Tamandua tetradactyla: one gene and its partners. The protein of the gene in region 1 interacts with the protein of each later gene in a pairwise test. Links are inferred from orthologs where the notes say so. Each region holds a gene or a part of one and is shown in the gene's direction. Other genes may lie near its edges.

Region 1 (7,524 bases):
TTTTAATGTCCGCAATTCCCAGAGACAAACATTTAAGACATAATTATAGGTTGGAACTTCTTAAAGCAAACCTCAAAAATGAACACTGCCAGAGCAACTGGGATGAGTAATAAAAACTACAGGTGTACACAGTATTTCCTTTTCAATCAAGCATTTAACCTCGTGGGCCAAATGGCAACGTGGTAAGGTGGTGGGCAGGGGAGGAAGCAGAGGTTTCCTGTTCATTACCCCATGTTGTTTCTAGGACTTATATCCCATTTGCTGTCTTAGAATTCTTTGTATACCAAGAAACTATTGCTACTGAGAAGCTCTCACTTTTTTTCTTTTAAGTAGTAAACAGGTCATAAAGACCATTTATATCCTGATTGAATGCATATTATTTTCTCCAGAGTCAAACTCCCTTCATTCCCAAAGTTTTATAAATAGCAAAAGTCTGTTTACAGATTCTCAGTGGGTCTTGTTTGATAATACAACATTGCTCAATTGTTCTTTCAAACAGGTCTAAACAGTTCTTTACAAAATGGTCAGAAAACAGAAATCTCTCTTTTTCACAGCATATAACCCGAACCTTACGCACTTTTCTGGGAACACCTTGAATTTCGCTCTTACCATTAAGTATTTCCTAGGTCTTCCTCCTTTACTGTCGATACAGCAGTGTAATTACATTTTTTATTTCTTGAAATCTCATCAGTTGTCCCATTCTGCACAAGTTCTTAATTTAGGGTCTGTCCCTTGAAAAAGGATGACTGAAGACCACTGCCATGATGCCCCTTTGGGCTGTTCAAGATGCCACCACTAATTCAGCCCTTCCCACAGGGTCTTAGAAAGACTTGATGTCATTTGAGCCAGGGAGTCAATAACTGATAAGATTTAATGTGCTCATTTGTTCAAAAATAATTACTGAGTGTCATGTGAGTGTTAGGCACTGTCTAGATCTTTGGTACATAATGATGAACAAGCCAGACAAGGGTCCTCTCGTGGAATTTATTTTCCTTTTTTATCCCTGGGGTTTTTGACTTCTAACAATGGACAAAGTCTCAACTTGGCTTCAAGACAAAGAATCAAGTTTTTACTTTTGGAATCAAGCCACATTTCCCTGGGCAGGGGCAGGGGCAGGGAAGGTCCCCCCAGCATCCTGGACTCACACAACATACTCCACCTTCTCATAAGTGGGGTCTGACTGGAACCATCAGTGACCAGATCAATGGCCACTTTTCTTGGGCCTTTGCCAGATGCCAACAAGACAATGCCTTTCTGTGGTGTGTCTTCAGCAGCAGGCTGGGATAGCCAAGGAGGGCAAACTGCTGGCATTCCTAGCAAGCATAGGGGTCCAAGACCACCACTCATTCGTTGCTCAGGAAGACACTGCCCCCAGGTGGTGACCTCATACAACTGAGGGAGTATTAGCAGTGGAAAGGGCTTTGCCAAGGTGTACTATCCATATACTGGCCAATACAAGGAGAACCAAGAGTTACCAAGTTTTGGGAGGAACTGTAGCCCTTGACTCTTCTGGATTCTTAAGTCACCACTTCAATAGACAGTTGGTTTATTTTCAGCCAGGATATATTTTTGTTCCCATAGACAGGAAAGATATTATGACAGCAATTAAAGAAAAGTATTTTTTTTTCTACAGTAAGCTTCTTTATCAAAAGCTTCGGACCTCCAAATAAATCCCAATTTAGGTCCAAGTACCACTTTACTGTTTTTCTCTTCATAATAGTCATAATGCAAATATTTTTTCACTTTGCTTTCTGCAATTTGAACCAGAATTCTGAGATTGTGTTGATGGGAAATAGTTTTGGGTAGCTTGTCTCCACAACACCACTAACTCCCTGGGGCAGGGGCCTTATCTTCAACCCCCACCTCCACACCCAGCCCACTCCCTGCAGCTCTTAAACCAGCGCAGAGTAAAGAATGTCTGGTGAGGGGAGAAAGAGATAAAGTTAAACAAGCAAATAATTAGAAATTGTGATTGGTGCTGGGAGGGAACAGGAGGCTGTGAGAGAGAATTCCTGGGGATCAGGAAGTGGAGGAGAACCTACCAATATGGGGTTTTCCATTTTTATGCTCCTAGCAGTCGAGTTTGAAAGCTTAAAGGATCCATTATTGGAGAAGCTCTCTTTGGCCCAGTAGTAACAAGTGCAATTTTCTTAATGTTAGCTTCCACCTACGGTTGGACTTAAACTAGGCAAGAAGGGGTGCTACATGCTATCTCTGTATCTATCCATCCATTATCTCCTTTTATCTGCAAAACCCTGGGAGATAAACCTCAGCATTCCCCTTTTACAGACGAGGAAACAGTTCGTGCTTACTTCCCAGAACACTGAGGCCCCTTTCTTTATACTTACTTTGAGCCTTTTAAAGATCATCTGTAGTGTCTCCAGTTCTGCTAGCGGTGAGGAATATTCACTTAGCCAACAAATATTTATTGAGTGCTTACTATGTACTAAGTCGTGTATTTAAATAGTCACGGGATTAAAAAGATAAACAGGGCATGGTCTTTGTCTTCCAGGAAGGATCTCCCAAAAGAGCAAGGGAGAAAGCCAGGTAAACAAATAATTCCAGAACAGTCTGATAAGGGCTAAGAGAAAGGGGTCTCCGCGAGGGCCCTGGGAAATCCGGCGCAAAGCCACAGTCGGTGCGGGGAGGCAGGCGAGACTTCCGAGAACCCGCGCAGGAGGTAGGTTTCAAGTTAGGGTGGGAAAAAGCAGGCTCTGGGCAGGCTCTCCCCGGGTCTCTTGAGTTACTTCACCCCGTCATTTCAATCTGCCGGTTCAGAGGGGGAAGAAGCTATGTCTGAACTAGTACAAAAAAGAGGAGGGGTAAACTTAGGGAGAGGGGTGCAAAGCCCTCCTGAAAAGGAAGCCAACAAAAGTAACCCATTACAGCTCCGGGTCCCCGCACCGGCAGGGGCCTGGCTCCCCGAAGCCCCTCTGCACGCTCACGTGCCCCCACACGCGACTTCTCCAACTCAGGCCCGGCTCGGACACCCGGGGCCCTCGGAGCCGACTTAGGTTGGGGGGACCCGGACCTTCTCCCCTCTCCCGCCCTTGCCTTCATCCTCGGACCTACCGCGAAGTCGGGGGCTTCCGCCCCGCGTCCCCTCCCCGGAGCGCGCCATCCGGCCGCTGGGCAGCCGCTCTCGGCGCAGCCCCTCCTCCCGCAAGGGGGCTTCGCCGGCCCGGGTCCCGTCCCTCAGGGCCGAAGGCTGCAGCCCACGTCCAGGGAGGGCGGAGGGAGGAGGAAGGGAGGCGGGGTGGGGTGGGGTGGGGTGGGGGGAAGAGAGGAGGGAGGAAGGCCAGAGAAAGGGAGCTGCCTGGATCTCATACTTCCCAGAGCCTGCCTGGAGCGCGCACTCAGCGGCTCTCGCGGCCCCAGCGTCCCCGTCGCGGCCCGAGCCCCGCTGCCCGGCACCTCCTCCTCCTCCTCCTCCACCTCCTCCTCCTCCTCCTCCACCTCTTCCTCTCTGGGGACCCTTCGTTCCCCCCCCCCCCCCCCCACCTCCGACTTTTCGCTCCAGCGGCTGCTAGGCTCGGGCAGTGGCAGCCCAACTCGGCCACATCCCCAACTCTCTGGGCTCACTCCCGGGACGCGCGTCCTCGCCCCATCCTTTCTTCCTTCCTTCCTTCCCTCGCGCCCGCCCTCCCTCTCCAGGTCTTTCTCCCGGGTCGCGATTGTCTCCGTTCCCTTCTCCGGCTGCCTGCGCCCTCGCCCTGCCCAGTCTCTCCCGCGCACTTCCTGAGGCGCCCGCCGCCGCTGTCCCGGCTCCAGCCCCTGCAGCCCGCGGCGCCCCGCCCGAGGGAGCCCCGGCGCCCGGGGAAGGGAAGAGCGGGCGAGCGCGCCCTCGCCCAGCCCCGCGCCCCAGCCCTGCCCCGCGAGCCAGGACCGGGAAGATGAACAACGGCGGCAAAGCCGAGAAGGAGAACACCCCGAGCGAGGCCAACCTTCAGGAGGAAGAGGTACCGAATGGTTCGGTGCGGTGGTGGGTGCGACCGGGGATGGAAGCCGCCGGCTCTTTCCAAAGTGCGGGCGGCCGGGAGGGAGAAGCCGGCGGGGCGCGGGCTCTGGTCCTGGGGCGCAGGCGTGTGTGTGTGTGTGTGCGCGCGCGTGTGCGTGTATGTGTGTGAAGACGGGAGTTTGGGGCTTGACCTTGCCCCTAGAGATAACCCCAAATTTGGCCCCGGGAGGGTGTATCTTTTGTGTGTCTGCGCGCGTCTGCATGCCTAAAATTGCGTAACTCCGAGCATTTTTGGAGACTTTTCTAAGTATAATGCTCAGCTTTGTTTGCCCGCGATCTTAAAAGAGGAATCGAGAGGTGACTCTTGGGTGACCTCAGATTATTGGGACCCGGAAGGTTAGAACTGAGGCTGAGGCGCTGTGTGTGTGTGTGTGTGTGTGTGTGTGTGTGATTTAAGGGAGAAACTCTGGGAACTCTTCTGTCCCCAGCCCTTTCAAAGTTAAAAGTTCTGGGTAAAGAACTTTTTCTTTACCAAAAAACTGAAGCATTTTGGATTAATAGATAACATCCGCCGCATTCTTCTCTGATCCGCGGCATTCTCCTCTGATGAGTCAAAGACCCCGAAAGTGGGCGATAAGCTTTAGCAAGTTTGGGGGCGATGCCGAGGTAGGGAGCAGAATAAAAGGGTTAAAAATTTTACCGTTCACCAAATGACCATCGAGGCTGTATTTACAGCACTTTGACTTTTGAACATAAACTTTATTGGTGCGTCCGAAAAAACCATAAAAATGTTTTGGCTGCGGAGCGTTTCTTTGGTGTAAACACAGAAGTCAGTAAACGTAGGGGGCGGCCCATGAGAAAACTTTTCAGAATTTTGCAGTTAGGATATTTGCTGGTATCCTATCAGATGACTCCATTCCTGCAGGTACCGTATCTGCAGTTCAAGATCTTATATAATTGAGTTCTTAAACATTCTATAGTGTGTGCAGATATCTAGATATAACCCATAAAGCATTCCTATAGGTTTTGCATTCTAATATAATAAATTAAACATGGAATGGTAAACTTATTCTAAAGCGGTTAGGAATCAGATTGCTTCGATACCGTGTTGTGTGCAAATGAAAATTCTAACAGTGAAACCGAACATTAGAGAGTAATTCATTAATAAATTTAAGCGCATTGTCCATTTGTAATATGGGAACTATTTAAACCTGGAAGATAGAGGAGAGAAACAAGGACCATGCAAAAAATGCAAAATAAATATAAGATTTTACGCTTATTTGCTGTGTTTTAGTGTAACCTAAGTGAATTGAATGAAGACAAAAGTTGCCTTCTCACCTAAGGGTATTATCTGTTGTATTACAAACTATTATCTTGAAAAGTGTTTACATATTGTTGTTTCATAATTACAAAGAAAGTAATACTACTGGTATTTCTTTTCTTTCTCAAAGAGGTGGAGACTTGAACTGCAGATTCCACTTTTTTCTTCATCCTTGCTGGCTGCTTTGCTATTTATTTTTCCTTACCACTTATAATTTTAAAATGATGGCAAGTTTACTCTTTTAGGGATTGCTGTATTGATCTAATACACTCAACTTCTCAAAATGACAATTGCTTCAGAAACCTTTCTATTTCAGTTAGATTGGCAGTCTGTCTACTTATAAGAGTAAGAACATATTGTTTGAAATCATCTTGATCCGTTCACCCCATCGAGAAAACTCATAAATTGGAAGAAGTCAATCAGGCAAACTGAAGTTTGGTTTTTTTTTTGTTTTTTTTTTGCTTTTGGTATGTGGCTCAAGAGGTTGGAGTGTCCTGGAACCACAAGTCCGAGAAAAGTCACATTTTTCTTTCTGCTTGACCCACTCGACTGAAGCACGCCAAAAAGGGAGGTGTTGCCTGCCTTGCACTTGGGACTCTCTGGCTAGAGTTCGCCAGGCTGTTGAATGAGTATATTCCCAGGCCCTCGCGGTGGACGTCACTGTGCAGTGGACCTGACTCTGTCCCTTCCAGGTGGGAATGACATGTGGCTCTAGAAAATGCCAGTGTTTTGTTTTAGTTTTTAAGAAAAATACTCTTTTTTAAGAAAAAAAAAAAAAAAAAAAAAAAAAAACAGGAGGACCGTCAAGAAAATTTCAGAATCCAACTTGACCGAGAGGTGGGTGTCACCTAACAGATAACACTGTGAAGAGAGGGTCTGTATAGTGTTAGCAATTCAGGAAAAGAAAAGAGATTGGTCCAAAAGATCCAGGTAATTTGGCATCAGTTCCCTGGTTTGGGTTTATGTTTTGTTTTTGGACAACTCCTAACCTCTTTTTTTTCTAACCCTGAAAACCGCAAAGTAAAATAAATATGATTTTTGGTGAGTCCCACTCATGTGCTCAACATTGTATAAAACCACGGCACTGGACCCTTTTCTGCCTGCCCAGCAAATCAGCAATTCCTCCCCAAACATGTTTAAAGCTTTGGCTTTAAACAGCGCACACATGTACAATGCGTATATACAATAACATGAGGAAAAATGTGTTTTCTGAACTGTTATAGAAAAGTGAGTCCGATCATCATTAACATAGTTTATTTATCATTAGGGTGGTTTAGGATTTCTACTCTATTATATGTTTTTAAAATATTTTTTAAGTGAGTTCCATTTATCATCCTGTATATTTTAGCCCTATATGAGAGCCTCTAATGCTTATTCTGAACCAATGATGCTGAAACACCTACCTGGTTCCAGTTGTATAGAATGAACAGAATAAGATTTATGATAATTTCTATAGTTTTTTAGGGTTGGAAGTTTTTGAGAACTTGGACAGTTCAGGTACTTCCACTTTGGATAACACTTAAAACTATGAGGAAAAATGATTCTAAGATTTGGCTAGCCAGCTGTGTAAGGGAGATAATTTTCTGCTTGGCTTTCTGGTTTTAGTGTATTATACATATGTATTCCTATAAAGTTGTTCCTATAAAGAAAAACCAGTTGTTGAGGTTTTAATGGATGCTGAGATTTATAAGGCCTATGTATATATATGTATGTATATGGCATCATTTTTTACATCATTTTGCAATTAATAAAATTCTAGAATTTGCCTTTAATTTTGGAACAGACAACATTCTCTTAAAACACCTTTGGCAGTTTGCACTCAATCAGACTATTACAATTTTAAAAAATGTAAATATGGGTCATAGTTATTTGTCTTATGTAACCAGTTATCATAAGTCTTAATACATTCAAATATAGTGAGACTTTATCTAGTAGAAAGAAATAATTTACTTATTGGTCAGTGAATTTTTCAAACAAATTTCCTTTTTCGAAATCTTATAAATATGTACATTTCAGGCTGACTACAAATCATTTCTAAAAGGCATTTTATTATGTTGAAGCACTGTTAGAGTAGTTTCTCCTTAAATCACTTTTACCAAACTGACTTGTGCTTAAAACAAAACTGAAATAGCAAAATCTTGGCACTGCTGGAATATCAATCGGAAAGATGTTTGGCAGATGTTGGACAGAAATCACGTAAAGTCAGTTCTTAAGAGGTTAACACAAATCTTTACTTTACATTCCT
Region 2 (8,270 bases), on another chromosome or scaffold:
AAAGGAAAGATTCAACAAAACCAGAAGTAGGTTCTCTGAGAAAATCAATAAAATTGTTGGACCCTTAGCTAGGTTGACAAAGTAAAAAAGAGAGAAGATACAAATAAAAAAAGTCATAAATGGGAATAAAGACATAACCACTGACCCCAAAGAAATAAAAGAGATAATAAGAGAATACTATGAACAATTAGCTATATGCTAACAAACCTACAACTTAGAAGAAATGGACAATTTCCTATTAAAAGATGATCAGCCAACATTGACTTGAGAAGAAATAGAACTCAGCAAACTTATCACAACAGATTAAATGAGTCATCAAAAACTTCCCAAAAAAAGAGAAGTTCAGGACCAGATGGCTTCACATGTGAATTCCACCAGCACTCATGAAAGAATTAGTTCCAATCCTGCTCAAACTATTTAAAATAATTGAAGAGGAGGGAAAGCTACCTAACTCATTCGATGAAGCCAGCATAACTCTAATGCCAAAACAAGACAGAGATACTACAACAAATGAAAATTACAGACCAATCTCTAATGAATATAGATGCAAAAATTCTCAAAAACATACTTGAAAATCAAATCAGCAGCACATTAATAGAATTATACACCATGACCAAGTAGCTTTTATTCAAAGTACATAAAGGTGATCCAATGCAAGAAAATCAGTTAATGTAATAAACCACATCAAAAGAAGAAAAAAGAGAATAATCTCAATTGATGCAGAAAAGGTATTTGACAAAATTCAGCATCTGTTCTTGATGAAAACATTTCAAAGGATAGGATTAAAAGGAAAGTTCTTCAGCATGATATAGGGAATGTATGAGAAACCCACAACTGACATCATAGTCAATGGGGAAAGAATGAAAGCTTTCCCTCTTAGATTAGATAAAGAGAAAGATGCCCACTGTCACCATTGTTATTCTCCATTGTGCTAGAAGCAAGAAAAAGAAATGAAATGCATCCAATTGGAAAGGAATAAATGAAACTTTCACTGTTTGCAGATGACATGATCCTATATGTAGAAAATTCCTGAAAATCTACGGCAAAGCTACTAGAGTTAATAAATAATTGCAGCAACGTGGCAGATTAGAAGATCAATAAACAAAAATCAGCAGTGTTTCTATAAAGTAGTAGTGAGTAATCTGAGGAGGAAATCAAGAAAAAATCCATTTACAATAACAAACAAAAAAATAAAATATTTAGAGATAAATTTAATCAAACCACATAAAATACCTATACACAGAAAACAACAAAATATTGCTAAAATAAATCATTGAAGACTTAAATAAATTGAAGAAATATTGTGTTCATGGATTGGAAAACTAAATATAGTTAAGATATCAATTCATCCAAATTGATTTATAGATTCAATGCAATACCAGGTTAAACTTCAACAACTTTTCAGAAATAGAAAAACCAATAATCTTATTTATTCGGCAGGGCAGAGTCTCACAAATAGCTAAAAATATTTTGAGGGAGAAAATGAAGTGAGAGGGCAGACCATGGTGGCTCAGAAGGCAGAGTTCGTGCCTGCCATGCCAGAGACCCAGGTTCATTTCCCAGTGCCTGCCCGTGTACAAAAAAAATGAAGTGGGGGAGGTCTTGCACTACCTGACTTTGAATCATACTACAAAGCTACAATGCCAACAGAGCATGATACCTGCATAAAGATAGAGTGACTAATGGAATTTAATGGAGTGCTCAAATAGATGCTCTCATTGATGGACATTTGATTTTAATAAGGTGGTCAAAGTCAATGCAACAGGGACAGAACAGCCTCTTCAACAAGTGATGCATGGAGAACTGGATATCCATATCCAAAAGAAAGAAAAGAGCCCTAGCTCACACCTTATAAAAAAATTGACTGAAAATGGTTCAAAGACCTAAACATTAGAGCTAAGACTATAAAACTTTTAGAAGAAAGCATAGTGAAATATCTTAAAGATCTTGTGGTAGGAGATGGTTTCTTAGACCTTACGTGAGCCAAGAAAGGAGAAATAGATAAATGGGATCTTTCAAAATTGAATAATTTTGCATGCCAAAGGACTTTGTCAGGAAAGTAAAAAGCACCAATGATATGAGAGACAATATTGGAAAACCACACATCAGATACGGGTTTAATATCCATATATATGAAAGAGATCCTACAACTCAACAACAAAAAGACAAATAACCCAATTTAAAAAATGGACAAAAACATGGATAGACAATTATCAAAAGTGAAAATACAAATGGTTCAAAAACATATAGAGAAAAGATGCTTAAGTTCACTAGCAGTTAGGAAAATGTAAATCAAAACCACAATGAAATATTATCTCATACCTACTAGAATGTCCATTTTTAAAAACAAAAACAAAGACAGACAACTATAAATGCTAATGAGACTGTGAAGAAATAGGTACAATTATTCACTATGGTAATGTAGGATATTGCAACTGTTCTGGAAAACCATTTGGTGGCTCCTCAGGAAGCTAAGTATAGAACTGCCATATGATCTAGCAATCCCATTACTAGGTGTATACTTGGAAGAACTGAAAGTAGGGACACAGATGGACATTTGCAAGCTGGTGTTTACAGAGGCATTATTCATGATTGTCAAGAGATGGAAATAGTCCAAAGATGTATCAATAGATGAGTGTATAATTTGTGGTATACAAATATGATGGGATATCATACATGTGGAAGAGGGAATAAAGTCATGACACAAATGCGTCAGTGTGGATGGAGTTTGAAGACAAAATGTTTAAAAAAGAAAACTTGAAATAAAAGGACAAATACTGTATGGTTTCATTAATATGAACTAACTATTATAATGGAACCCTGAGAGTTAAATTTGAGAACACTGGCTATCAGCAGATAGAAAAATCGTGGAAATTGGGCATTTGATACTGAAGGAATACACAATGTTCAACAGGATTGGTTGTAAAGATTCAGAATCAGATAGAACAATATTGTATGATGGTAGCACAAAATTGTAAGTTTAATGAACAAAACTGAGTGTATATTTGAAAGTGGAAGGCTAGGTTCATGTGTGACACCAGAAGTAAAGTTAGAGGATAAAAACTGGATTTAAATAATTTAGTGAAAACTACACTGGACAATAATGGTTATCAATAGTACAAATATACAAAAGTTTTTTACATAAGAAACAACGAATGAATGTCATCATTGCAAAGTGCTGAAAATAGGATGGTATATGGAAAAAATACACAGTAACATTGCAAAATTCTCTCACTAATTTATCAAAGGCAAAATAGCAAAGCTAAATATCAATAAGGGGGATATAAATGAGGAGTATGGGATTCTTGTTTTGTTTCCTTTTTCCCCTCTTCCTCGTTCTTTTGCAGAATAGATAATTACCAGGAGCCATTTATTGTACATTTAGGATGAATTATATGGTGTGGGAATAAAACTGTTTGAAAAATAAACAGAAGGAAACAAATGCTGGAGAAGATTGGTGTGAGAGATGTAACTATTATTTGTTGGTAGGGAGGTAGAATGATGCAGCCCTCCTGGAAGGCAGTGTTGTGGTTCCACAAGAGGCTGAGTATAGGGTTTACATATGCTCCTGCAACCTTGTTATTAGGCATATGCATGAAAGTACTGAAAGCAGAGACACAAGTAGACACTTGTACATTGATGTTTATTGTGGCATTATTCATGGTTTGCAATGGATGGAGGTGGCATATGGGCACAATGACTAATTAATAAATGGGCAAATGGTGATGAATACATATAATGGAATATTGAGTAGCTGCAGGAATGAATGAAATGAGGCATTACAACTAGATGAATGAAACTTGAGGACATGATTTTGAGTGAAACAAGCCAGAAACAAAATGATAAACATTGTGTGGTCTCAGTAATATAAACAAAATATAATGAACAAGCTCTGAGAATTAAATTCTAGAGCATAGTTTAATAGGGGATAGAAAGTGGGTAGATATTGGAAAATCAGTGATTAAGAAGTATAAATTGTTCAATAATGCTCATTGTGAAGGTTTTCAAATGATAAATTCTCACAGCAGTCAAATTTTTACTGAAATTTAACAGTTGTTGCTAAATATTGAGATGCTGGCTCTTTGTGTATAATTTGGTAGTTCTTCCTGGAACTTTGGCTATCTGTGTGACACCTGAGACTCAGAGTTAGATTTCTGCAGCTCTTAAATTCAGCATTATTCCATAGAGTGACTGTTCAAGAAGCTGAAAAAGAGATCAGACTTCAATTACAGTTATGAATGAAACAGATTTCGTTAGGGATAAACTAAATTGGACTACAAGGTAAGAGATGATATTACCTGTATTTCAAAACCTCAAATTCTATATGAGACCAAAGTAAGAGATGTTTACTTGTTACAAAATTTAACTTTTCCATAGCACACTATTTAATTTAACCTGTTTGATCAGTTTGTTTAAACAACATAATTACATTGGACATAGAATAGGGAATGAGATCACATTTTTCTGTACAGGTTAATGTAATACCCTAATGTATTCCAGAGTACCTTGGGAAGAAGATAAAAATTATTTGCCGAAAATAAAAATAAAAATAGATAATCATTTGCAAAGACTGGGGAAAATTGTGGAATTAAACTTCCCCACCTTGGGGAATTCCTTATATTTTTCAAGCATTAGTGAATCCCAATTTTAATAAGCCTTGATCTTCAGGCTTGCCTTTATAAAATTTATTTATGCAATGTTGAAGCTAAGCCTCCTTATAATTATTCCTAAGAGCCAAACCCAGAAAACCTCTTTTAAACCAACTGTGGAAATAAACTCACTACACTCCCTAATGCATGGGACATGATACCCAGAGTTGTAAATCTCCTGACAGCGATGACCCTGGCCTTGGCAGCATGAGATTGAAAATTCCTTCTTGTCCAAAGGTGTGTGTGTGGGGGAAATAATGAAACAAAATAAAGTTTCAGTGGCTAAAAGATTTCAAGTAAAGCTGACAGTTTATTCTGGAGGTTACTATCCTTATACAAGTTTCATCCACATATTGCAAAATTGCCACAATAAACCAAGCTCCAACAATGGTATTTCTGAAAACCCTAAAGAATTCCATGGACTTTATCTAAGACTCCATAAAAGTTTCTCTTTTTTTTTTTTTCAGGAACTTTTAGACTTCCAGATTGTTCCTATGCCAGATAAGTCCTGAAACCAAAGGTGACAGTCTCTTGAGAACATCAACCAGTTTTTTCTTCTACTCTATAAAGGTAACTCCCCTTTCCAGCATAAAAAAGTTAAAATGGTTATTGCCCGGATACCACTGAAGATTGAGAAAATGAGCAAATGAGAGAGAGGAGGTGTTACTGAGAAATTAAGATTTAACAAATGCCTGAGACTACTGACTCATTATATAGGTAGTTATTTTTAAAGTCCAGTACTCTAGAATAGCCAGAAGAAAATACCTGAAGTTCTTGAATTGTTATCCAGTAGCCTTGATCTTTGATAATGATTGTATAATTATATAACTTTTATCATGTGACCATGTGTGCTGATTTGAAACTATTATGTACCCCAGAAAAGCCATGTTCTTTTAATCTTAATCTAATCCTGTGGCAGCAGACCTATCCTTTGGCTGGAACATTTTTATTAGATTATTTCTATGGAGATGAGACCCCACCCATGCAAGCTAGGTCTTAATTAGTTTACTGTAATCCTTAAAGAGCCAATACAGAGAAAAGACACAGATATTTGGAGATGCAGACAGAAATATTCCAGATGCTAAGCAAGGACTCACATCAATAGCTAGAATCTGGGAAGAACCAAGGGAAGCTAAGAGGTGAAATTCAAAGTTTGCTCCAAAGAAACCAAGTGAGGGCCCACAGATGCCCAATGGAATGAGAAATCGAAAGCAATGAACCAAGAGCAAGGACTTCGGAAGTCAGCTATGTGCCTTTCCAATTGACAGTGGTGTTCCTGATGCTGGCTGCCTTTCCTCCAAGAAGTGTCCTCTTGTTGGTGACTTATTTTGGACATTTTCATGGCCTTAGAATTGTAACTTAACAAATCTTCTTAATGAAAGATAATCCATTTCTGTTTTATTGCATTTTGGCAGCTTTAGCTATTCAAAAACAGATTTTTGTACCAGGGAAATGGGGTGCTGTAATAAGTAAATACCAGAAATACCAGAATGCCTTTAGAAATGGATATGAGTAAGATTCAGGATGAATTTAAGAAGCATAAAAGAAAAGCCCTAGATTGCTTTGAAGAGACTGTTGTTCTCTTCACACTAAAAGTGGTTCTGATGAATTGTTAGATAGAAATGATAAATGTGTTGTTGCAAACTGGAAGGAAGGTGACCCTTGTTTTAAAGTGGCAGAGAATTTGGCAAAATTGAGTCCTGGTGTTGGATGGAAGGCAGAAATTGAAAGTGATGAGCTGGTATACTTAGCAGAATGGATCTTCAAACTAAATGTGGAAAAGGCAGCCTTGTTTCTCCTTACAGCTTTCAGTAAAATTCAACAGGAAAGCTGAGAACTGAACTCTTAGTACAAAGAAACCAGAAACTGATAGCTTGAAAAATTCTGAGCCTTTGGAAACGAGACTCCAGAGAATATTACCTCATGTTAGGATTTAACCAAACATAGAATTGTCAGCCATTACAGGACAAGCTGGAATTGGAGATGAAGTTATCCAGAAAGGATTTGTGCATAACTGTATTGACAAATGATTGTGATTTCTGTGTGCTGCAAAGAAAACCAACAATTTTTTGTGAGATTTGTATAAATAGAACCACTGCTGGTCTGTACTAAAAGGGACAGAAAAGGTACAGATTGAAAGAAAAATTACTTCAATGGTAGAACAATGAAAGCTAAGATATGAAGCCAGAAAATCCCAAGTCAGGGGACCAGATATACATATGCATGTGGAGGGTTTGCCCCTAAGGTAGGGGTAGGCCTGCCCCTTTGATGCTTAGGTAGAGTTTTCCCTCCTTGGGATGGAGCACATTTCTGAAGGATTGGAGAGACACTGTCAGATAGCCCACTGTTCTGAAGGGGTTGAGCATATGTCCCAGAGACAGCAAAGAGTCAGGGTGCTACCCAGATGCTTAAAGAGAGTGGGGCCAAAAAACAGGAGTTCTCCCCAGTGCTTGGTGATGATGGAATGTTCACTCCAGTGTTTGGAGAAAACAGGGACATTCTGCAAGCCCTTGGAAAGGGTGGGGCTGCTGCTCTTTCTAGCCCTAAAGATTAATAATCTCAAGACTTTGAAATCTAATAGTGCTTGCCTTGCAGGTTTTAGAAACTGTTTAGGACATTTGACTCTCATTTTCCTTCTGATATCACTCTTTATAAATGGGGGCATTTATCCTATGATTGTCATTCCTTTGTATATCACAGCAGGTAATTGTTCTGAGTTCCACAACTCCACAGCCAGAGGGGAATTTTGCCTTAGGACAGATCATGCCTGTAACTGACTTTGATAAGATTTTGTACTGTTTTTGAGTTGAAATTGTATTTATATTGTTATTGAAATTGTTTAAAGGTTTTGTGATATTGTGGTGGAATAATGTATTTTATATAGGGAAAGAATATGTGTTTTGGGAGTTCAGAGGGTGGAATGTGCTGATTTCAAATTGCTATGCACCCCAGTAGAGCCATATTCTTTTAACCCTAATCCAATCTTGTGGGGACAACCTGCCACTTAGGTGTGTTGTTTTGATTAGATTATTTTTATGGAGATGTGGGCCTCACCTTCAAGTTGGGTCTTTATTTGCTTACTGGAGTACCTAAAAGAACTGACACAGAAAGCAGACACAAACAATTGGGGATGCAGACAGAAATACCCTAGGTGCTAAGCAAGGACTCACAGAAATACCCAGAATCTGGAAAGAGCCAAGGGATGTTAAGAGATAAAATCCAGAGTTTGCCCCCAAAGAAGCTAATTGAGGGCCCAGAGATGCTTTTAGAGAAAGCCACTGGAATCAGAAGTTGAAAGCAATGAACGGAGAGCAAGGACCTCAGAAGCCAGACATGTGCCTTCCCACTTGACGACAGTGTCTCACATGCTGGCGTCTTTGCTTCTGAGAAGGTATCCTCTTCTTAGTGTCTTAATTTGGACATTTTTCACATCTTAGAATTGTAACTTGTAACTTGATAAATCCCCAATCTGTATATGGCATATTGCCTTCTGGCAACTTTAGCAAACCAAAACACCATGTTATTGTAAAAATATGACTGACACTTCCTTTATCCAGTGTATGGATAGAGTAATACAATAAAGACTTTTAAGATATATCATTATATCTGAAATAACTTTAT
Region 3 (8,112 bases), on another chromosome or scaffold:
CTAGCCAGCTCTGTGACTTAGGGCAAGTCATTCAGCCTTCCTTGCTTACTAAGGAGTCTTTCCACTCTAGTTCTATTGTAACTTGTTATCCAGTTATCCAAACTGCTTGTTATCCAAACTAGCAGTGCTGGTTTGAAAAGGTTTATGTACCCTAAAAAAATCCATGTTTTAAACTTAATCAATCTTGTGGGAACAACGGTTTCTTCTAATCCCTATTCAGCACTATAGGTTGGGAGCTTGATTGGGTTAACTCCATGGAGATGTGAATCAATCAACTGTGGTTATTAAACTTGATTAGATGGAGACTGTCTCCACCATTCTAAGTGGGTCTTGATTAGTCTACTGGACTCCTATAAAAGAAGAAGTACTTTGGAAAAAGCTACAGAATGCCACAGAACCATGAAGCAGAGAGTTCATCAGCCAGCAACTTTTGGAAACGAAGACGGAAAATGCCTCCAAGGAAGCTTCATGAAACAAGCTGGAAGAGAAAGCTAGCAGATTTTACCATGTGCCCTTCCAGCCAAGAGAGAAACCCTGAACATTTCTTGAACCTAAAAGTATCTTTCCCTGGATGCCTTAGATTGGACATTTCTATAGACTTGTTTTAATTGGGGCATTTTCTTGGCCTTAGAACTGCAGACTAGCAACTTTTATTAAATTCCCCTTTTTAAAAAGCCATTCTGTTTCTGGTATATCGCATTCCAGCAGCTAGCAAACAAGAACAGTAGAACACTTCCAAACTTCTCAGGTGAGATAAGGCTAGAAGGTTTTATCACATTCTTTTCCCAACCAAAGCATTTTTGGTTTTGAATCAGTCTTTTCTATCAGAAAGTTATTTCCATATACTAATTTTCTCAGGTTGAAGTTTAAGTCTATATCTCTGGGGGAGGGGGGACAGATTTTTTTACCTGGTATTATCTAATACTATTTATAATATAGTAATTGATTGAAAAACAAAAAGGGATGGCTGTATCCTGATGTGAATAACTAATACCAATCAGCAAAGGCTGACTTTACTACTTCCATTTGTTTGCACTTAAACTAATTGAGGTATTGGTCATGAGTTTTCCTGCTTTGTAGGCTGTTTGCTAAGTACAAAGAAAAATCTCTATTTCTGATTTGCCACCTGGAAAGGAGAAGCTGTTAATCACAGGAGGCACACTGATAGCATGTATAGATGGCTCATAATTGGAAAAAGCAATGCTAAGCACTTATTCTACCTTATAATCATCTTGGTGCTGACACTTACATTCCCAAGTAATGAAAAATTCAAATTAAAGCAATGCATCAGGAAGAAAGCATCAAACTAGGGTGCAAAAGTAAGGGTCAGAGAACTGGAATAAACATTTATTATAAACATTTTTTGAAAAAACCCACATTTCTGAAAAGTTCTTGATGTCATTGAGATTGGAGAGTGATAAGATTAAATTGTTATCATTGGCTCCTCAGCTGTAATCTATAGATCATTAAATCTATAAGCATGTAAGTAGTTGCCATGTTTTTGATGGATCTGTGCCATCATTGCCAAGTATGGATAGAGGAAGCTCCAACACATGGAATACAAACCAGACCTCTGCACTCTGTTCTTTCACATGAAACCATTCACCTTTCATTAGGACTAGGTTGGATTTTAAACAATTATAATAACTTTCCATCATTTTTCTTCTACATTGGGGACTGTACTTTATAGAAGGCTTGTAAAAATATTTCTAAATAATTAAAAAAGCTTACATTTCATGTGGGGAGGGGGACACATATACAAGATATCCAGACTGCTTTCATTAAATATGTTTTGTATATCCCGTCCAATTTTTTATTGGTAATCTTTTCTCTCCATATTCCACAGTGATGATATTTCTTTCCGGTGTTTTCAGAGCTCCATTTTTATTTCTTCCCTTGCCAACAGGCACCTTCCAACTCTTAACTTCTATTTCAATTAAAATACCTCCACATTTCTTATTTGTTCTCTTCCTATTCATTTGGATCACCTTTTTTCCTATAAACTTGTATATAAACTTGTAACAAACCCTAGTTTGGGATCTGTTCCTGAAGATGAATTCTGGCTGGTAAGTGTTTTAGCATTTTCTAGCAGCCCAGAAATATAAAGTTAAAGGCCATTTCTTTAATTTTACATACAGAGAATATAGTTTTCTTATCAGTTTCAGAAAAACACATCTGCTAATGAACTTTGGATAATAAAAGTTTAGAAGCATCTGACCAAAAGGATATATAATTAAAGTTTGGGAAGGGCCTTTAAATAACGCTATCATATCTAAAACAAGGTTCTATGCCTACACGAGGATCCCTTGTTTAGTTGGTTTTCTTCACACTTGGAAAAAAAGAAACGAAAAATTCCAGAAATGTGAAACAACCCTTCAGGCCACCTCCAAGAGCTGTCTTTTGCATTCCACAAGATAACATCTCCACCTAGCGACTCTTGGGTCCTACAGCAACTACTAGAAACAATTTGCATGTCTTAACAATTTCGGTTAATTTAACCTTAAAAAGGAAATACACTTCCATTTAAACTTACTGGGATATGAGACAGGACCAACATGAAAAGGAAGAATGTGGAAAATATTTTTTCTGGAGAAATAAAAGGGCAATCACAAATAATAACATGATATAATTACCATCTTTGCAGATGAGATAGAGAATTGATACCATTTTTTTTTAAGTAAAGTAGATATATTCAATATCTATATTTTTTGGTTGCTTTATTCTCAATGCATTAAGCTACATAAAAGGAGATTTGGCAGAGATTTAGGAAGGAATATTTGCTGAGCTTCCACTATGCACCTGGTATTATGCCAAATGTTTTGTTTCTGGGCACATTTTGAAATAGTATAACATAGTGGTTATTCCTGCAGGTTTGAGAGCCAAATTGGGTTTGAAACCTGTCTCCACGATTTACCTGAGTACAACCTCAGGAAAACACTAAAAATGGGACTAGTATCTTTGCCAGTTCCAGGGAGAAGTCAACTTATATATGAAAATTCCTTCGAATTGTGCCTGGCATGTATTAAATGTTCAATATTTGCTAATATATCATTTAATTTTCACCATTGCCATTTCAAACTGGGACACTCAGAATTTAAGTGATTTGCCGAGGTATCACAACCACCAATTGATAATACAGGGATTTAAGCCCAGGTCGATCTGGCTCCAAAGTCCTACCTAATTCCCCACTGTGGAGGACAGTGACAAATACAGATGTCAAAACATAACGCAATTCTTAACAAAGAAAATGGATGTTAATGCATTCATTAGATCCTTGAACATATGGAGACAAATTTAAACTGAAATCAGGAGTTAGTATGGAAGAAAAACACCTTGAAGTGGGAGTAGCGGGATAGGTGTTGTGCTATAGCCCAGTCGGTTATTCGGGGCTTCAGGTTCCTCATATGTTAAAGGAGGGTCTACCTAAGCCCTCTCCAATTATGTTATCTGAGTCTACACATGTTATCCTTAGATAATGACCCTAAAGCATACTCAAATAACGGAACTGGTTCCTTAAGTAATTTTTTTTCTGCCATTTAATCCTGAGCTCTACCATTAAAGGAAGCACAATTTAGGGTGTCTACAGAATGCCAAATGGTCCTATTTGCAAAAGCTGGTTTTACATAGGCCTAGAATCTGGTTCAGCAGCTCCATCACAGCCAAATCTCTCCCCATGCGGATTACTAGTAAAGTCTATTACCAGGTCTCCTAATTCAGCCCACATGTCTATGTATTTAACGCGTTTTAACTTTTACATTCCCACTATATTTGCCTTTTAACCTTATACTTCCTCAAGCACTTACTTTAAAAGAAGCCAAACTTAGGATATATTAGTAGTTTGACTTGAAAACTATGGTTAACAAGAAATAGAACCCACACAAATACAAGCAAAAAGTGCTAAACCACATATATTTTTCCGGAAGTACGAAAAAGTACGGAAGTTCAAATCATAATCTTCTGTTTTAAATGCCTTAACAAAATACTCAAATTTCCAACTAGAACCTACATTTAGCATTACACATCACCCACCAAACTCCCCAATTCTGTCTCTTGGTCCCAATTGGCTAACGTGACTACCCAACCCAGGAAATACTGCTCCCCTCTCAGTAGCCCGCTTAGCCTTTAAACCTTGGCCCCGCCCACCGCCCGTGGTCCGGGCTGGCCACTGATTGGTAGATGCTTCTCCACTCCACATGGGGCCGTCCACGCGTAATGCCTGATGGGAGCCCAGGCGAAGGCACGAGGACAGCACGAGCTCCTCCCGGTGGGCTCCCCTCCCCCCCTACGGTGGCTCCCCACTCCTACTGACTGGTCCCCGAAACGGTGAAGGCGGTTTGTGGTCGTTGGTCACGTCCCAGGGATTTATGACGAACATCTGAAGACCCGAAGGGGTGAGGAGGGGATGAGGGCATCGGAGCAATGGCCAAACCGATGGTAACGGCTGGAGACCCTGCCTCCCGGTGGAGTGGACACCCACACCCGGCTGGGGGCGGTGTCTGTGGGACTGACCCCTCCTTATTCTCAAAGCCCGTGGAGGGGCGGGGTTGGGGGGTGGGCGGGTGTCATAAATGCGTGTTCCCGGCCCCCGGCGGCCCGCATTTGATAGACGGCTGGCTCCCTTTCGCTGACGGCTCGTGCCGCGTGGTCTCAGGCGTCCGGCCTCCAGCTCAGCTCCCGGCCTCGGCCGAGCCCCTCGTTTGGCTCCTTCCGCTCCGTGGCGCCCAACCTCCCTCCGCCTTGTTTCCGCCCATCCCAGACGCCTTCCGGCCGCTTCTCACCTGCTGCCCTCCATATTTGTTCCCTAAAACTCTCCCTGCGTGGCCCACCACAGACCAGGGCCATCTGCTGTCCCTCCCAGCCGGCCGTTGCTGCGCCTGCGCGTCCCCTCTAGACGCTTTGGGACGACGCCCCGGGGGCGCCCCGACTGCCGGGTGAGGTTTAGCGGGCACGTCGTTTATGTCGAGGTCTAAGCGGCGATGAGCCTGGAACTTTCCTTTGTCTTTCACTTTTTTCCTGTCTCTCCTTTACGCCTCTCTGGTCTTTTGGGTTTTGAGCTGTGCAAAGCTGCTGGAATACGGGAACGATGACTGACTCCTCCTCCCCTACAGGCGGCGGGAGCCATGGACGGTAATGCACACATCGTAACATTTTTTGTGTCCCTAACATCAGGTAATTTCAGTTACTGATTACTTAAAATATTTTCTTTGGGATACTTGAGAGGCCGTCGAACCTGGAGTCAGGGGACCTGGGATTTAATTCTGGCGTTGTTCACGCTCTGATCCTTGCGAACATCTGTTGTTGAAGTTGGCTTTAAGCTCTAACACGCTTTACATTTTTGACAAATACTCTAGCTTTTTTATTATGTGATGATTCGACTGTAGGCCAATATATATAAGAAAATCAAAGTGGGACTGGCCGTAACTCTTCAAGACTTGGTTTCTCTTAAAAATTTGTCCCGCTTTTTGTGTATGGACGGCGTTATAACCGGGAAGCTCATGGTGCGTGGCGTGTATAATAGAGTAGCGTATATTCATTACGGTTATGCTTATTTTCAAAATCGGAAGGTATTTTCTTTTCAGGAATCACCAGTATACAGTTGAGGACTTAAAAAACTTCCATTGGTCTTTCAGAATTAAAGCTCCTTGTGAGCTGTGATCATTGACTTGTATGCACAGTGCAAAATTTTAAAATTCTGTTTTAATTTTTTTTTTGGTGAAATATTTTCTGCTATGGCATTATTTTAAGTGCTGATTTCCCCTTGAGAGTGGAGTGTTGGAATTGATTATTAATTATCAAAGGTTATGATACGTACAAACATGTATGTTACTGAATGTCTTAGGTAGAATTATTAATAACAACACACCCAGCTTATGAACTCAAAGTAAGCTTTGTAAATTTTTCGTGGTGTCGTTTGTGTTGTTAGGAAACGTAGTCCTGTTAGTTTAAGGGGAGTTTGTAATCAGAAATCAAATACGTGGTGTAAAAATTGTCCAGATTTGCACATTAATGCTGGGTGGTGTTTCCCATTTTATTTTACTAGTATTGGTTGATGAGGCAAGTAAATGAGGAAAGAAAGTATAATCTGTATGTTCAAACTGATAACAGATTCAAATATCAGCTTGTAAATAGTGTGTTTAATTTGGACAAGAACTTTTGTTCTACATGGATGTATTTTTCCTGAGTTCAGAGCTCATATTAATATTTCAAAGCAATATTTAAAAATTGTTAGTTAAAACTTATTTATTTATATTTGTTGCATGGGTAGGCACCTTGAATCGAATCCAAGTCTCTAGCATGGCAAGTGAGAACTCTGCCTGCTGAGCCACTGTGGCCCGCCCTACAAATTATTTTTAAATCGTTCAATTTTTCAGTAATTTTAAATTTAAGCCAGCCCTATGCAGTATTACTGGAGGTTGTGACACACTTAGTCCTAAAAGTTTTCATACATTTTATATTTGACTTCTAGAACTAAAAATGGGCTTTAATTTTTAAATAAAAATAATTAAAAGTGGATTTGAACTGATTCACTTATATAGTTTTATTGTGAAATAACTTCAGACTTACATATTCATACAGTTTTGATTAATCCTAGTCATTTTCAAATTACCTTTGCTATAATGAAGTTCCACTAAAATGAATAGCCACTAAAAAGTTTCCGTTGATCTGGGGTCCATGGTCTTGGTATACCATACTCAATAAAGCCTAAACTAACAAGTCAGGAATTTAATACCTTGTCATGTAGGGAATGCTAAAATATCTAAGTGCCTTGTATAAAAGTATTTTGATACTTTAAAATAATGTTTTCTCACTATCACATTCAGTTTTTCAAAACCATAGAGAAACTTATGTAATGTTCATTTTCACAACTTTATAAATTCTTGCAGTAATTCAGAATACCAGAGTTTCAGTTTCACAAAGCTGAAACGAATACCTTTAGAGATATAATTTTTAGTTATATTTTGCTAAAATAGTATTTGACATATTTTCATTAATGTAGTCTGTTTTTGAAAGGCTGTACAAATCTGTGAATTTAAATGTTTTCTAAGCAATATGATGTTTAAAATTAAAGAAGATATAGTTAGCCCTTAAAGCAAAAGGCTTAGTTCAAACTGCTGTCCTGTGATTGGCTGTGTTTATCTCCATTTTCTACTTCATAACTTTTTTTTTTTATTCTGCGTTTGAAGCTGAGCTAGAGAATAATCTTTGAAAGTCCGAGGTTTAGGAAAAGATATTTGTCTTTGAAAGCTAGAGTTTACACCTTTTAACCTACCCTGTCCACTTTTTTTTTTTTCTCCCCATACACCATTTATGTCATCATTTTGGTAAGGACCCCTCCATCCATTATTCAGATTCCTTTGGGTCGAGGGTAAGGAAAAAAAATGTAGAAAATTTTGGAATTTGAATCCACAGCTGTAGTAAATGACTGTGTGGAAAACTTTAGTTATGCCAGCTTTGACATAATGTATAGCACTGCTTGTGCTTCCTTGAACATTTTGATAACTCTCAGATTGACTCTGGAATATTTTAGAATGAATCTAAAGGTACTGTATCTGTGAGTAGATTTGATTACAGTTTTCTGATTAAGATTCTCAAGTTCTGGCTTTTTTGGAAGTGTGATCTGCATAAAGTTATGCAGTGTTAAAGTTTGATATTTAAATATTTTAAAAGTTTAAAAACTTTCCTTAATTGTATATGAGATGTGTATATATTACTGTTGTTTTGGAGACTTTGGAAACACATTTCTTTGTAAAGAGAATGGGGTTTGTGACTCCCCAGTGTGTCTTACTTATACTTCTGTAGTTTTTATAATGTTTTGATTGGAACTTACTGAAATGAACAAAGTCTACTGTATGTTTCTAGTCATTTTCTAGGAAAAGGAGTTGTTAATTTGGGGGCTGACCTATTATTTCAACATAAGATCCTAAATAGACTTTAAAAAAATGTAACCGTAGAGACACTGATGAGCTAAAAATATATGTCTGCAAGGTCATTGCAGGGGTGGGGTGAATTGTAGAAAGACATTTAGAGTTAGCTATGAATTATGGTTAAAAATGCTTTTCATTAATCAATTCTACATTTTGGATAAAATAGAAGCTGAAACCGTATTTATCT
Region 4 (8,150 bases), on another chromosome or scaffold:
CCCAGAGGCTTGTCCTCCTGTAGTGCAGGCAAAGGGGCAAGGATGAAGATTCAGCACTGTGTATCATAAAAGTCTCCTTGCCAAGCTCCTAGCCTGGCTACTTAGTTAGGGCGTGGCTATATGACCTCAGAGTCCACTGTGTGAATGGTTTCATTTTTGTTTTTAGTTTATTGTACTCTTTTAGTCTCCCCAGCTTTATTTGTGTGTGCAATCTCAGGAAAGTATAGTGGTTTTGCAAGCACATAATGGTTTGCTCAGATTTAAAAGTGACATATGTAGGATAATACCCTCCTTCTAACAACCTGTTTAAGGGTCAGTGTTTCCATTAAAAATGCAAACTTTCCAGGATTTATTTCCCAGCCATCACAAATAGCTCTGGCAGAAATTCGGAGAAATTTTGTTCCTGAGCAACTGCCCTCTCCCAGGTTTTCAATGATTCTGGTATTTGAATCTCAGACTTGAAAGCCTGATTGGTATGATGATTCTGAGAGGGGCTGGGCCAATCACTGAGGAATCCTCCGAATCTTTTTGTTTTATCATGGTAAATATTAACCTTTTTCAAAAGATAAGATTTGTTCTGCTGTGAACTCTCTGCACACTGTGTCTTATTTGTCTTTGTCTTGTCAGTGCCTAGTCATTGTAGGTCCGTAATAAATGACTGCTGGGGAAATAAGTAAATAAAAAGTAATTTGAGAATTAAGACAGTGTCTTTTCAGTAATCACTACATAGTACTTTGAAAAACTGTTGAAACTGTCAAAAACAAACAAACAAAAAAAACACAAAAACAATGACCATGTGGCTGGATCCTTAATCTCTGTGATTTCATTCATCTGTGAATACCTCGAAGGTTTATTCTAACAATTAAATGACATATAATGAAAGCATGAGTTGGTTCTACAACTTTTTTGAGGCTGGGCTTCACCATCGATCTTACCTACATTTTGGGAGCTTTTGAGGATACGATACCAAAGAGCTATGGAAAATATCAAAATGCTGCATAGACACAATTGGAACGTATATTCTTGCTACTCCCAGGCTTAAGGACGAACCCCTACAATTACTGTCACTGTAAGCATTGCAAAAAAATGTACATACTTCATATAATTTGTGTGATTCCAAATGAAATGAATTTCTCTGATGCATGGTTAATTGCACTGGGTTAACTTAACGCCAATGTTTTTAGAGTAACAGGATTTACGCTTAGAATTGCCTTGTTTTGTTATCATGTGATCTTGACTTTTGACAAGAGAAAAACTAAGACATTTTATGACTTCTGAGGTCCACTTTCTTTTAAACTTTATACAACTCTAAATAAATATATCAACATTCTATTAAGCTGTCAAAGGCTGTTCTGATCTGTTCAATTATTTGGCTGTTATAACCTGGCAAGCTGTTTTGGTTTGTTTGTTTTATCTTGTCTTATACTACATAACAGTCTACTTCCAATAAAAAGGTATACTACAACGTAGAATCTGCTAGGCTTTGGGGGCCTGTACACTGTTTTATTAAGCACTCTCGTGCTCCCTCTGCTGCCATAAGGAAAACATTCACGTCTGAGACCCCAGTACATTTCTTAGCATAGTGTTCTCTTTTGACAATGATGATACAGATTTGTGCATAAATTAGGACTCTTCTGAAATGGAGTACTATCCGTTCAAAGCATATAATGTAATAATTTTTTTAATACCAAAAATCACAAAAAGGAGAGGAGGGAGTGGAAAGGAACAGATAAAAGAATTAAGTTCTGCACCTGTGGCCAAGTTCATTTAGCTAGAGCCCTGTAGTATAAACCAATGTTCCTCACAAGTACTTGGGAATCGCCCCGGGGGTCTGGCTAAAATGCAGATTTGCGTGCAAGAAGGGCTGGGGTGGAACCCTTGATTCTGAATGTCTGTAAAGCTCCCAGCTGCTGCTGCTCCAAGGACTACTCTTTAAAGAAGCAGGGATATAATATATAATTATATGATATAGTATTCACTTGATAGCCCTTTTTAAACCTTCCGAATTAGACACTACCAAAACAATAAAATAGATGCGATTATAATTATTTATCCATGGTATTTAAGCAATCCAGAGCACAAGCTAGGTAGTGAGTCTCAGCAGGCTTTATTTCTAAATTTCCTTTAATTTCAAAGGTTGACTTACACTTGTCTGAATATAATACGAGGTTTATGAATAGGACTCTAGGACTATATATTTGCCTACTGGCTGCTTGAAAGCCCTGCTCTTCTTCTTTCACTGAGTTTTTATTTTGCATGAGAAAATCTTGTTTTTAAAGAACCAGTGCCTGTTATTTGTGGCTGTGTGTTTAATATTTTGCCATCTGAGAACAAAGTATTTCAGGGCTAATGGTAACAAAAGTGTATCATGAGCATTTATGTTTATGTTGGACCTTGCAGAGAGAAATAGTTACAGATTTTAGTCACAGTTTATGGCTTTAATCTTAATGGCTAAAAAAGTAAATGGCACATTTCCTATTGTTTTTACTGTTTGGTGAGTATACATATTTAGCTTGCTTGAGGGAATATTTAAATTAATGGACTAGCGCTAATCTGAATTATGTGTTTTAATTTGCTTAAGGCTGTTAAAACAGCATAAATTAACTGCTTCTGTCACTGTAATAATTAAAATATTTGCTCTTTTTTTATTGAAAAGTCTCTAAATGTAAGATGTCTAAAAGTAGAGTGGAGGTGGGTTGGGCAGTCTGCAGATGATGAGTTGGAATAAAAACATCTCAGTTAAGCCAAAAACATGGCAACCAATATTTTCTGCTATAAAAATATTTTAGATAAATTTAGTTTTTATGAAAGCTGTCTGAAACGGAAAGAAATGGCAGAAGCTCTGTGCTTCTTCACAGGCTAGTAACAGTAATACCTGTAGCTCAAAGCCTACATCTTGTCCTGGTAAAGCCAACAAGCCCCGGCTTGATTCGGAAGTCGGCTCTGCCAAGTGAGGGAAGAGATATTATGTGGTTATGTTCTCCGATATTAACCTTCACTTTGATAAAGCTTGTCAACAGAAACAAAACCAAGCAGAGCCTTTCCAGGAAAATGATTTTAACTGTCCACTAGAGGCTGTAATGAGACCAACAATGTCACTTTAGACCAACCAGAGGTTTAAATTGTAACAATCATTGATTTTTTTAAATGGAAAAAAAAAAAGTTGTAGAATTGAGTAAGAGTGAACAGTAGTATCTCTATTTAAATAGCCCCATATATGTGCTCGGAGTTTCAAAATGTGAAAAAAAAAAATTTCGGGGCTCACTACCTTCCTAGTTAGTATATTTATTTTTTACTTTGGGAAGCACACGGGTTCTACGATAGTGTTGCTTAAATGCTTTTCTCTCGGTGATTCTGTATCCTGCTTTCAGTTGGTGACTAAGCCTTAAGTCATACGGAAATTCGGCCAGAGGCGTTTCAAATACGGAGTACGGTCAAACTTACGTGGAGAGGTCGTGCTTCTGTACGCTTGGTTCAGAGTATCTCAAGGAGGTCAGATGCTACTCTGACACCTACTGGCCTTCCAGAATGATCTGCAGCAAGGAGAACGCTGGCCGAGCTTCCTTGGCACGGAGATGCCTTTTCCCCAGGTGCCACACCTGTGGGCGAGGTGCACCCCACCAGTGAAGGTTGCTTCCCACCGAGCTCACACCGCAGGCGGTACACGCAGAGGAGGCAGGGCGGCGGAGAGTTAGAGGATCCGACTGAAAAATAGAGTCCGGAGGAAGTTCTTCGGCGTGGATTCTCGAGAACTGTCATTTGATGCTCGGTTGGCTTTTTCTATCTCCTACACTGCTTACCTCATTTCCGATTAAATTAATGATCCCGAATTAGCCGGAGAGGAGTTTGCGGGTCGTCACTCCCGGCTGGAGCTGAGCAGTTCAATATCTAAAGCAGATTTCCGGACCTGCAGAAAGAGAAAGGAGGGAAGGCGCAGAGGTCACCAGCTTTCGCCCGCAGTGAAGGTGAAGGCGCACGTGGAGTCGAGAAGACCCTTAAAACTTTCCTGAGTTGCGAAGACGAGCAAACCCCGCGGCCCCAGGGTCTGGGTTCCGGAACGGCCGGCTCTAAATCGGTTTCGGGGTTAACCTGCAGCTGGTGATCCGAATCAGCCCTCGCAGTCGCTTCTAAGGAGCGCCGGGGACCAAGGGCACGTCGGGGTTAGAGTGGAGCTGACCTTCCCTCCCCCTTCTCCCCCTTTCCCCCTCCCCGGGTTACGCACTGGCTCTGAGCCAGGCTTCAGCTGGCGCCCGCCCCCCCCCCCCCCAGGAGGGTCTCCCAGCGTGCCAGAGTTGCACCCCGCTGTTCGTACCTCCTCCCCGGCAAGGTGCAGGGACCGGGGTTGGCGCGCGGGGACCCACAGATCACCGCTAAAATGACCTCATCGCCTCCGCTCCCCGCCCCTTTCGCAAACCTAGAAGGAACCGGGCCCGGGTCCTTGTCTCCCCCACGGAGCCACTCTGTCGGGATGGGAAGTGGCGGCGGAAAGGAGCCGCCTTCCCTGAGGACCGCCCGACCCCGAAGGGTTAAGGGCGCGGGGCCGGCCGCTCGCCGTGATCGGTGAGGCTCGCCGGGCCGCCGGCCAAAGCTCCCCCCCCAGCCTCCTCCCCCCACAAGAAGTGAGATCCTTGAGCTGCGGCGGCGGCAGCCAACTGCTCCATATTTGGCTTCTATTACACATTTACATACTGGAGCGAGCGAGCTAGCGAGGGAGGGCGGGCGGGCGGGCCAGAGGAGGGAGGAGGCGGGGAGGGGAGCGCGAGGAGGAGGAGAGAGCAGAGTATACCGCAGACATCATTTCTACTACAGTGGCGGCGCCGTACAGGACCTGTTTCACTGCAGGGGGATCCAAAACAAGCCCTGTGGAGCAGCAGCCAGAGCAACAGCAGCCGCAAGACATTGTTTCTCTCCCTCTGCCCCCCCTTCCCCACGCAACCCCAGATCCATTTACACTTTACAGTAAGTGGCTGTTTTTTTTTTTTTCCTCCTCTCATTCTCTTCCCCCTCCCCCTCCCCCTCCCCTTATTTAGATGCCCCCCCACCCCCCGCGCTCTCTCGAGGGGGGCAAAAGAAACAACCAGCAAACAAACCCCAAACCCCAAAAGGCGGCACGGAAAACAGCTGGAAGAGGAGCGAAGGAAATAGACGCGTTGTGATGTGTTGTGTGTGTGTGTGTGTGTGTGTGTGTGTGCGTGTGCGCACATACAACCGTCCTGGGCTCTAGCCTCGCGGGGGCTCACATCCCCCCCCCCGGCAGGCAGGGTGGCAGGCCGGGGCTGGGGGAGTGAGGGTGGGCTTTCGCGAGGCGAGGGGGGCGCGCCGGGCTGGGGGCGCGGACGGCGGCGGAGCCCTGCTCCGAGTGCGGAGAACCATGTCGTCCCTCGGGGGAGGGGCGCAGGGAGCGGCGGCGGCGGCGGCCGGGGGTCGCGCTGCCCTCTCCTCCCGCTGCCCCCTCCGCATTCACCCGCCCCGGCGGGAGCTGCAAGAGCAAGTGGGTCGCGGACAGGCCGGGCTTCCCCGAGGGTGGCCGCCCGGCTTCGGCGCCCGGGGGTGGGGGTCTCCCCGCGCAGGCCGGCCTCGGAGGCGGTGCGGCTGCGGCCGGGGGAGAGGGCTGCGCCGGCCGCCCGGCCCGGACTTTGCGCGTGGCCCGGGGGAGTGGAGAGGTGGCCGCGGGGGGTGGGGTGGGGGTGGGGTGGCAGCGAGGGTGCGGGTGCCCGGAGCGCCGCTGGAGTGGCGGTGGCGGCCCCGGCTGCCGCCGCCCTGTTGGTGCTGCCGCTTCCTGATCATGTGCAGCCGCCGCCGCCCGGAGCCCGGAGTCCGCGAGCGCCCGCGGCTGGAGCAGGGGAGCCGCGGCGGGCGCTGCCCTGCGCTGGGAGTGAACGGCTGCGCGGCTGCTGGGAGGGTGAATGAAGCCAGGAGGAGGGGAAGGAGGAGGAGGAGGAGGCGGCGGAGGAGGCGCTGCGGGGATTGGGATGCGCCCTGGAGCCCCGCCGCTCTTTCACTCTGGGCCGGCCCGGGCCGGGGACTCTGCTACTCCCGCGGCTGCAGCCGCCTCCTCCTACGAGCTTCCAGCGCTGCGTGCAGGCCGGTCCCGCCGGGGGCAGGGAAAGGGCCGGACGCGCAGAGCTAGAGGTGAGGCGGTGTCGGAGCGGGGCGTGAGTGTGTGTGAGTGCGTGTGTGTGTGTGTGCGCGCGCGCGCGTTGGGGGGAGGGGGGAGGGCCGTCGCCCGATGGGGAGGGGGCGCCTCGGTGGCTACTTGGCCGACTCTGCAGCGCCCCGACCCCCGTTCAGCCCCCCGCCCCCAGGCCGCCTTCCTAAACTCCGTGGCTTGTGCTTTCATTTTATTTCAGACCACGTAGGAGGTTGACTGGAAGCGATGAAACAATTCAGGTTTTCTAGGGAGATTGAGCAAGAACCTTAGTGGGGGGTGGAAGTAGGGTGGTGATCGAGATTGTGCCAGAAAACAAAACAAAACAAAAAAAATCACAGTTTCTACGGACGATGGGGTTCGGGTCATAACCGTGGCTGCTCTGTTTTGTTTCGCTTTCTTGGTATATAATCCTACACATAAGATGGTAATATAAATACTTGAGAAGATTGGGAAATTGCTGAAGAGTAGTAATGGCAAAGAAAAAAAAAAAGCCAGTCGGAAGCGGGTTATATAATGCGCGATGTGGCTAACAAGAACGGCAAGCTATTTTTATTTTGTTTACCGTATGCTGTGCAGTAGGGACTCTTCCAAACTGGTTCTTTCCCCGAAGAGATTCTTAGCTTCCTTCTGAGATCCACAGGATACAATTAGCAAAATTAGAAGACCCCATTACACCCGCAGGAAAAAAAAAAAAAAAGAAAGAAAAGAAAACTAATGCCTTACAGTGGCATCCTCCCTGCAAATCCTATGGTGAAGGCACGGGAATGTTGTATGCAAATAAGTTCTGCTTTAGCAATCTAGTAGTCACATCTCAATGACATTTGTGTTTTATAATGCAGGCTGCTCTTAATATTTAAACATCATCATTCTGTATCGCGCGCAGCAGTGGGTAGTTACTAGATGGCTATTTTTAGGCACAGCTGGTTACTTTTTCAAAAATATTAGCTAAGCCTTTTCTTTTTGGGTTTCTGAGGAGTCCTGCAGTTCCTAGAAGCCCCTGCTAAGCCCACCCTCTGGTTTATTTGGTGGGTAATGATAGTTTGATACTTGGGCTTCTTTGGAAGGAAGCTCTGCCCCAGGAAACCACCAGAGAGAAGAAGGAGAAAATCCTGCACAGGAACTCTTGGAAAGGGATTGCACCATAACCGCTTGTGCTGTGCCATTTAATCTCCTTTGATTGCCCTCTAACCGTGCAGGCGTTAGTCAATATTTTAGCAGCTCCGTAAATAAATGGGCCTGCCTACTACCTTCTTCTACATAAAGCAGAGGTCGAAGGGCTCTCCTGAACCTCCTGCTGCCTGTCTTTCTCATCATGTAGATACATGTCAGTGGTGTAGGTTTTCGGTGCACTTACTCCAGCCCTGATCAGTCATGTAATTAGATCAGGCTGCCATGGTAACAGACAGTGTTCCTTGGTCCATTCAGGTGGGAGTGCCTGAACTACTCCAAGTGTTTTCTGCACAGTATTTGTGCTGCCCGAGCCAGACGAGAGACTTCACTATTTCAATTGCACCCTCTTTCAATTCTCTGTCATTTGGACAAGAGATACTGAATTAGGTTTCTAGCTACTCAAGTTTACGAAAGAGACCAAGAACCAGTTCTTACTCGGTGCGGTATGTAAATGAATATCTCTCTGCATGGTGAAAGGAGCCTGACAGCCTTACTGGTGTTTGTTAACAGATCAACAAGTATTTGGTACTTGTTAGAAACCTTTCTGAGCTTACTAGAGCAACATTTCTTTAGCAGTCCAGTGCCTTCGGCCTTGGCCTTTGGCCTTTCAAGTGTGAGGAGCGCCCATTCTTCAGAACCTAAATTGCCAGTGGTCATGACTGGCTTTCTAGAGGGTTTACTCAGCAGAAATAATTTATTAGGGAACGATAGCCTCACTGTCACCTTGTAGAACTTTTCAGTTATAATAGCAAAAATGGCACTGACAGCAGACATTCTGAATGTATTCATTCTCAGTTTGGATCTGTTGCCCATGATACATCTGTGGTAG

What was found.
Region 2: the proteins of RBPMS (region 1) and keratin-associated protein 19-7-like interact in binary tests that used the Homo sapiens proteins (3 or more experiments, as listed by UniProt). The two-hybrid records come from large-scale screens. The link is inferred for Tamandua tetradactyla from reciprocal best matches to the Homo sapiens genes RBPMS and KRTAP19-7.
Region 3: the proteins of RBPMS (region 1) and RBM46 interact in a two-hybrid assay, tested with the Homo sapiens proteins (2 studies listed by BioGRID and IntAct). The two-hybrid records come from large-scale screens. The link is inferred for Tamandua tetradactyla from reciprocal best matches to the Homo sapiens genes RBPMS and RBM46.
Region 4: the proteins of RBPMS (region 1) and ATXN1 interact in binary tests that used the Homo sapiens proteins (3 or more experiments, as listed by UniProt). The link is inferred for Tamandua tetradactyla from reciprocal best matches to the Homo sapiens genes RBPMS and ATXN1.

Annotation. Positions count from the first base shown.
Region 1 is NC_135352.1:13,318,779-13,326,302, reverse strand, and holds the start of RBPMS (RNA-binding protein with multiple splicing), read left to right. Parts: upstream 1-3,847; 5' UTR 3,848-3,893; coding exon 3,894-3,959; intron 3,960-7,524.
Region 2 is NC_135336.1:90,103,160-90,111,429, reverse strand, and holds the start of keratin-associated protein 19-7-like, read left to right. Parts: upstream 1-5,114; 5' UTR 5,115-5,219; intron 5,220-8,270. UniProt on the Homo sapiens protein: In the hair cortex, hair keratin intermediate filaments are embedded in an interfilamentous matrix, consisting of hair keratin-associated proteins (KRTAP), which are essential for the formation of a rigid and resistant hair shaft through their extensive disulfide bond cross-linking with abundant cysteine residues of hair keratins.
Region 3 is NC_135348.1:12,148,772-12,156,883, reverse strand, and holds the start of RBM46 (putative RNA-binding protein 46), read left to right. Parts: upstream 1-4,939; 5' UTR 4,940-5,120; coding exon 5,121-5,169; intron 5,170-8,112. UniProt on the Homo sapiens protein: Essential for male and female fertility, playing a crucial role in regulating germ cell development by ensuring the proper progression of meiosis prophase I.
Region 4 is NC_135351.1:19,862,043-19,870,192, reverse strand, and holds the start of ATXN1 (ataxin-1), read left to right. Parts: upstream 1-4,749; 5' UTR 4,750-4,959; intron 4,960-5,818; exon of another isoform or gene 5,819-6,132; intron 6,133-6,290; exon of another isoform or gene 6,291-8,150. UniProt on the Homo sapiens protein: Chromatin-binding factor that repress Notch signaling in the absence of Notch intracellular domain by acting as a CBF1 corepressor. Binds to the HEY promoter and might assist, along with NCOR2, RBPJ-mediated repression. Binds RNA in vitro.